Linked DNA regions of Rattus norvegicus. The protein of the gene in region 1 interacts with the protein of each later gene in a biochemical or structural test. Links are inferred from orthologs where the notes say so. Each region holds a gene or a part of one and is shown on either strand. Other genes may lie near its edges. The genes, in order: Mettl22 and Kin.

What was found.
Region 2: of the proteins of Mettl22 (region 1) and Kin, one has a biochemical effect on the other in vitro, tested with the Homo sapiens proteins (2 studies listed by BioGRID). The link is inferred for Rattus norvegicus from reciprocal best matches to the Homo sapiens genes METTL22 and KIN.

Annotation. Positions count from the first base shown.
Region 1 is NC_086028.1:7,620,174-7,623,990, reverse strand, and holds the end of Mettl22 (methyltransferase-like protein 22), read left to right. Parts: intron 1-1,830; coding exon 1,831-1,999; intron 2,000-3,612; coding exon 3,613-3,648; 3' UTR 3,649-3,712; downstream 3,713-3,817. UniProt on the Homo sapiens protein: Protein N-lysine methyltransferase. Trimethylates KIN at Lys-135 (in vitro).
Region 2 is NC_086035.1:73,323,307-73,327,123, reverse strand, and holds part of Kin (DNA/RNA-binding protein KIN17), read left to right. Parts: intron 1-1,188; coding exon 1,189-1,232; intron 1,233-1,317; coding exon 1,318-1,440; intron 1,441-2,954; coding exon 2,955-3,757; 3' UTR 3,758-3,817. UniProt on the Homo sapiens protein: Involved in DNA replication and the cellular response to DNA damage. May participate in DNA replication factories and create a bridge between DNA replication and repair mediated by high molecular weight complexes.

The DNA.
Region 1 (3,817 bases):
GGTTGTGAGACATCAGGGTGATGGTCTCAAAGCCACAGTGAGATGGTGTCAGGAGGGGACCTGCCTGAGGCCAGTACCCTGGCCACTGGCCCTGCTTCCTGCTGTCTCCCACAGGCTGTTGTTGTTAAGGCCTGCTGTTGTTAGCATCACTTTTACTGTTTTTCTATGAGAAAGATGTTTTCTGTGTTCCTGTGTCTTCCACAAAACTTAAAAATGAAAAGTTGAAATGGTTAGTGATAAAAATAGGAAGGAGGGTTCTCTTGTGAAGCCACGCATTCCCTCACAGCCCTTGTGTCGTGTGTTAGGCCCTGCACAACATCTCCTGACTTTGGCTTTGCTGCTCCCACACCAGATTTTCAGTCAGAGCTAAACCTTGGGCTGTCATCCCAGCTTGTTTATACCAGGCTTCTCCTTCAGACACAGTGACCAGAAGAAGGAGAGGCCCTTGTCTTGATTCCCCCTCTACAGTTTGTAAACAAGAGACTTGGGGCAGACAGGAAAACCTGAATTCTATAAATGATGTTTAAAGAGTTGGCTGGGCACTTGGGAGATGGCACCGGAGGGTCGGGAGCTCCAGGCCAGCCTCAGCTACATAGTAAATTTCAGGCCAATAAATTACCAGCCAAAAGACCCTGTCTCAAAAAACAAGAACCAAACAAAAAGTTGTTAATTTCATTTTGAAGAAAGAATCGTTATCTTTTCCAGACATGTGCAGACATTTGCTGGAGAATTGCTGGGGCATCTGGCATTTGCTTGTTAATGAGTGAGATGGGAGGGACTCTGGGAAAATGGGAGACAGAGTGGCCCAGAATCAGCAATGGCTGAAGCTGGCTGTGGCAACTGGTTACACAGTTCTCCATTGCTTGAATGTTTGAGATTTTTCACAATAAAAGATTTGAGGAAGGAAGGAAGGGAGGGAGGGAGGGAGGGAGGGAGGGAGGGAGGGAGGGAGGGAGGGAGGGAGGGAGGGAGGGAGGGGTCATGGAGCTGGTTCAGCAGGTGGAACACTAGTTAGACAAGGATGAGCATCCCAGCACCCATCAAAATGCCAGCAGGTGTGGTGGCCTCCAGGTCTCAAGCCTGGGTGCAAGTGCAAGGCAGGCCTTGTGTCAACATAGAAGGTAAAAGAGAATGCCAACCTCTGGGCTCCACACTTACACACTCACAGACATACCCTATAAACACATGAAAACACACACATAGAAACACACACATGTATGCTACATACACATGTGAAGAAAAAAAGAAAAGAGAGACAAATGGAGAAGGTGAATGTAATGTAAATTGTTTTACAGATTCTGCTGTCCAAAGGTACAAATGGTGGTGCCAGAGAACTCTGTGTGCGCTACCTCCCTCTCTCCCTCCCTTCCCCTCCCCCTCCCTTCTCCTCCCCTTCCCTTCCCTTCCTCCTCCCTTCCCCTCCCCCTCCCCCTCCCCCTCCCCCGTCTTTCTTCCTCCTCCCTACGCCCCCCATCTCTCTCTCTCTCTCATCTCTCATCTCTGCCTTTGTTCCCAGTGTGTTCAGTGTCTCCCTCTGCCACAGCCTGGTGTTTCCCAATCCCATAATCATGCCCAGTCCTCAGCACGCAGCCAGCAGATCCACCCAGAATCCATTTGCAGGAACTGGTACCCAGAGTGCCATCTTGGCAGCTGAGGTCAGCTTCCCATAATGTGGATCTGTGAAGCAGAGCCAGTAGCCGGTCTGGCGATGCGAGCAGCGTAGACACCTAAGGCAGCCCCAAGATCATGCACTGAGCAGGAAGCAAGCTGTGAGGATGGAGCTGAGCTCTTCTGGCCATGATGTGTGTGCTGTTGCTGGTCCATCCACAGGTTCAACTTCACACTGAGACACTTGGACGTCACGTGTGAAGCCTACGATCACTTCCGTGCCTCCCTGGACTCACTGGAGAAGCTGGCTGATGGCCGACTGCGCTTCCTGGTGGAGCCTGTAGAGACCTCCTTCCCGCAGCTGCTCGGCTATGAGCGCATCCAGCAGCTGGTAGATGCAGCCCCATGAGGGTGGTGGGAAGCAAAGCAGTGGGGCAGGCCTACCTTCCCATCTACGGTCTGCCCCACGGGGTTAGGCCTGCGATCTCTGAGGGGGAGCAAGGGTCGGGGGAGCTGCAGGCCTAACCCTGTGATCTCTGAAGGTGGGGAGGGGGTGTTAACCTGTTCTCAGCAGCCACATGGTCACAGCAGCTCTGTGACTAAGTCTCATGTTCTCTACGGCAGTTAAGACGCCAGAGGAAGGCGTGGGGGTGGGGGCAGCACCAGTTACTCTCCCCCTACTGAAGCGACATGGGTAGCCAAAGCAACTCCAGAAAGCAGCCTTATTCTGGCTCATATCCAGAGGGTACAGTCGTCATGACGGGGAAGACTAGGCCACAGGAGAAGGTGGCAGCTGGTCACATTGTGTCTAGTCTCAGGAAGCAGGGAACAGGAAGTAGGACTACCCTGTACACAGTGACCCATTTCCTCTTCCTCCTGCAAGGCTCTACCTCCTAAAGGCTTCACAGGCTTCCTAACCAGGGTGTCCAGATGGGAACCAAGTGTTCAGACACATGAGCTTGTGGGAGACGTTCCCAATTCAAACCAGCACAGGGCAGAGGGTCGTTGGGGAGCAGGAAGTCAGAGGGAAGGATCTGGAGTGCTGAGGACGGTAGGACCTCACCATGAGGAAGGGGACTTTGACCTGGCTCCCACCTTGAGGGCAGCCCTTCACAGTCGGGATGAGAGCTGCAGGAGTGAGAGCAGCTGCTGACTTAATCCACAGTCAGAGCAGAGAGTGGATACTGACGCCGCTCGGTTCCTTTTTCCTTTTTACCAAGTCAAGGGCCAGCCCTTGGGACAGCACCACCCACGTACAGGACGAGCCTTCCCACCTTAGTTTACCAATCTAGAAACTCTGCCATAGACACGCACAGAGGTTGTCTCAGTGATTGTAGATCCTGTCAGATTGAAGGTTTTAACCATGATGCTAATGGTCACATTTGCTCTAAGAAGTCTTGCCCCTCTGGCCAAGCACGAAGGCTCATACTAAGCTCTTGATAATCCTGCTGCAGTTGTAGCCAGCATGTGTCAGTGCCACATACCTTTGTCCCCTGTCTTAGCACACTCAGCCAGGAACTGGCAGATCTGGGTCGGATGGCATCTTAGAGCAAAAGCGCGTGCTATTACAGCTTCTAAACCCAGCACTTAGAGTAAATCTGAAAACCCAAAATTACCCTGAAAATTACCAGGAGCTGGGTCCACAGAAGTCCATCTGGCATCTCGTGTCCTTTGCCTTTTGGTTGTGGAGCTCAGGCCTTGTCCTCAGGAGAGGGCCAGCTTCCTCACACTGCTTCCTGTGTTCCTTCTTAGGAAGTAGAGTACTGCAGACTGCAGTGCTTAAGGCCCCCAAATGGCAAGACTGGCCACTTGCTGCCATTCCTGTCTCTTGTGACAATGTGACAAACCAGTATCCTGTAGCTAGTTCCAGATTGGTCTACCCAGCCACTGTGCCACCGTATAATGGCCAGAGTCTCAAAGACAGGAAGGAGTAGCTCCTGGCCCTGCCCTGGTGTGGTATGGCTCTGCTTTGTGAAGCCTCAGACTCTCTCGTTTCTGTTACAGGAGCTCTGGAAGATTGTGGTCGAGCCAGCAGCATGAGTCACCTCTGTGACCTCTTGACTATTATCTTAATGTATTTCAAATAAAGACAAACCCTCAGCCATCTTGCCCCTGAGATGCTGTCATTTTAAATACAGTGAGTGGCCCTTGCTTGACCCTAACTGGTTCCTGGGGCCCATCACTGCCTATAACAATAGCCCAAAAGTTA
Region 2 (3,817 bases), on another chromosome or scaffold:
TAATTGACAGTTCCCTACTGGCCTGCCTCCCTCCCTTCTCCACTGCTCGTCCCATCCCTTCCCCCCAAGTAATGTACTCCTCTCTTGTCATGTCACATGTTTTCTATCAGCTTCATTTTCCTCTCTCTCTCTCTCTCTCTCTCTCTCTCTCTCTCTCACACACACACACACACACACACACACACACACACACACACACACAACTTTAAATCTAGGTTTTACATATGAAAGAAAACATATTTGTCTTTGTGATCTGGCTTTTTTTTTCTTGTAACTATTATTTCATTTTTCTTTGATTATTTTATGTATGTGTGTGTCTTGCCTGTATGGAGACTAGAGGAGGCTGTTGAAGCCCCTGGGACTGCAGTAAGAGACAGTTGTGAGCAGCCGTGTGTTTGCTGGGAATCAAACCTGAGTCCTCACAAGGATCAGCCAGTGCTCTTATTGGCTAAACCATATTGCTAGCCCCTCTTTAGGACAGTATAATACTGATCATCTTTCAAATTACAGTTTTAACTTACTAATTTTCAAACTAAGTTTGAATGGTTTTCTAGTGCCTGCCTAAAATTAGATCTATATAACATGACATTCAAGATGATTCAAAACTTTGGCTAGACCTCATCTTCCAGACATAACTTCTCACTGTGGGAAGTTCCTCACATCCTCATCTCTCTTCTCAGATTTCTGCCTAAGTAGGTTAAGTGTCATGTCTCAAACACCCTGTGTTCATGACTGTTAACCGGGAACAATGGCCTTCCATTTTGACCTTTGAGTTATAGTTCACTGTCCATATTAAAATCGCCTCTGATAATGTTCTCAAATTTGTTAATGATGTCCTCTTACTTTCCTTTTCAGTTGGCTTTATTGGAAGTGCTTAGGTGAGGTGTGTCCCTCCTCACCTGGACAGAGTGTATTGTTACACTGGAGTCATCGGCACAGGGACCCTGGGGGGATCCTCTCTCGTGTGCTAGCTTTACTAAGGCCAGACAGCTCAACTCCAGGCTGACTTACCACTTTCCTTCGAAAGCCAATCTTTGCAGATCTTTCTCTGTTCTCTTAGAGGTTTGTGGCACATGGTAATGTAGGTGATTGGTCACTAAAGTTTGTGATTGCCCAGACTTCAGGAAGATGGCACATTATGTTTGTAGCCAGTACCTTAATGGCTCTCTGGCTTTCTTTCTTCACTAGGGAATTCCGAAATGACTTTCTGGAACTTCTGAGAAGACGCTTTGGTAACCATCTTAAATATTATAGAAATAATAATTTCATAATTGTGTGGGTTTTTTCAGGCTCAACAGTGTCATATTTTGTTTTCAGGCACTAAGAGAGTCCACAACAACATTGTCTACAATGAATACATCAGCCACCGAGAGCACATCCACATGAACGCCACTCAGTGGGAGACGCTGACTGACTTTACCAAGTGGCTGGGCAGAGAGGGTAAGAAGAACGAACGGGAACTGGTGATCCATGGCTCAGTTTCTAGGGGAGACGTCATTTCCTGTTTCTGATTTTATAGAAGGAGGATATGTAGAGCAATCAGAAAGGCAGGAGGCTGTACTGTCCCTCAGGTGAGCTTACTATATGCCACTTACGTTGTTTTGTTTCCTTTTGAAATTGGGCCTTACATAGCCCAGGCTGCACTGGAACTTCCGACGTTCCTGCCTCTGCTTCCTGGGTGCTGGGCTTACAGACTTTAAAGCTGCAGTAGCCAGCCTGAGGACTTCTTTTGACAGTGCACATAGGCACTTTCGTCACAGTGACACAACACCCGAGAACAATCTGTTTCGACTCCCAGTTCCTGAGAATTCAGCTCACGACCACTTGGCACCTGTGCTGCTAGGCCGTAGTGAGGGAAAGCATCGTGTCAGGGAGCACCTGATGGAGCAGAACCATGAGACAAGGCAAAGAAGGGGCCAGGGGTTTGCGGTGAGCTGTGCCCTTCTGGAGCATGGCGCATGGGGGCCTGCTCCCTCCTGCCAGGACCTACCTGTTAGTCTCTGCCACCTCCCAACGGTGCTCTCAGATTAGGAGTCCATGAATGGATTAATTCCCTGATGGAGTCTGGGCCTGCAGATCCAGTCACTTGACAATGAAGGAGACCAAGCTCTCAGCACATGAGCTCTGGGAGACGTTTGTATCCGAACCATAATGTTTGCATTTGGGTAAGAACTGTTATCAGTCTGATGGCCTGAAATTGATCCTTAGGGCACACCTTTCAGATTATTGAAAATTTCCAACCTCCACACAAACATATGTGTACATCACACAAATACACACATCACACCACACATAAACATGTGTATCACACATAACACAATAACATAATAAAAGTTATTATTAGAAAAGTTATTACTGCTAATAACTTTCTACTGTTTCTTATGGTCATATTTATCTTTCCTTCCTTCATTCCTTTTTTTTTTCTTCATTAGTTGAGACAGTAGTTTGTTCACACTGTACTCCAAGCTCCTCTAGAACTCAGTATGTATCCCAAGTTGGCCTGGAACTCCAGCTTCAGCCTCCTAAGTGTTAGGGTTATGGCATAGGAAATGCTTCGCATTCTGTCCTGACGTTAGTGGTCAAGTTTGCTCTTTCTCATTTCTAATCTCTACATGATGAGAAATTAGGAAGACAGGAGCTTGGTGTCAATATTTTGCTTATTTAGTATGTGACTTCATTCTGAGTTAACAGATTAATATTCATCAGACAGCAGAGACTCTGGTGTAGTTGAATAGTTGCTCCTGCTCCTAAAGTATTTCCTTCTGTGTCTCTCGTTACCTGTTACCTCAGTGCAGTTGTGTGAGCACGGAAGTGGAAACTCCTGTCTCAGGTCTTTGTGATTGTGGATAGTGATTGGAGTTACTGAGTGGGTGAATGTGCAGAGGTGGGAACTCTCCATGGTAGTTTACTCTGGATCTAGATAGTCATGCTGCCATTTTGACTTTTTTTTTAAGGCTTGTGTAAAGTGGATGAGACACCAAAAGGCTGGTACATTCAGTACATAGACAGAGACCCAGAAACTATACGTCGGCAACTGGAATTAGAAAAAAAGAAGAAGCAAGATCTTGACGATGAAGAAAAAACTGCCAAATTCATTGAGGAGCAGGTGAGAAGAGGCCTAGAAGGGAAAGAGCAGGAGACGCCTGTCTTTACAGAGTTAAGTCGAGAAAATGATGAAGAAAAGGTCACGTTCAATCTGAATAAAGGAGCGGGTAGCTCAGCGGGAGCAACAACGTCCAAGTCAAGCTCGCTGGGACCGAGCGCACTGAAGATGCTGGGGAGCACAGCATCCGTGAGGCGGAAAGAGTCTTCACAGAGCTCAGCTCAGCCTGCGAAGAAGAAGAAGAAGTCTGCCCTGGATGAGATCATGGAGATTGAGGAGGAAAAGAAAAGGACCGCACGGACAGACTCCTGGTTACAGCCTGGGATCATTGTGAAAATTATAACGAAGAAGCTTGGGGAGAAATACCACAAGAAGAAAGGGGTCGTTAAGGAAGTGATTGACAGATACACAGCTGTGGTAAAGATGACTGACTCCGGAGACAGGCTGAAACTGGACCAGACTCATTTAGAGACAGTCATTCCAGCCCCAGGGAAAAGAGTTCTAGTTTTAAACGGAGGCTACAGAGGAAATGAAGGCACCCTCGAGTCCATCAATGAAAAGACTTTTTCAGCCACGATAGTCATTGAAACGGGACCTTTGAAAGGGCGCAGACTTGAAGGTATTCAGTATGAAGACATATCTAAACTTGCTTGAGTTTGACAATTTGTTAATAACACATTGAAATTGTAAAGCATCAAATTGATGTTAGCCACG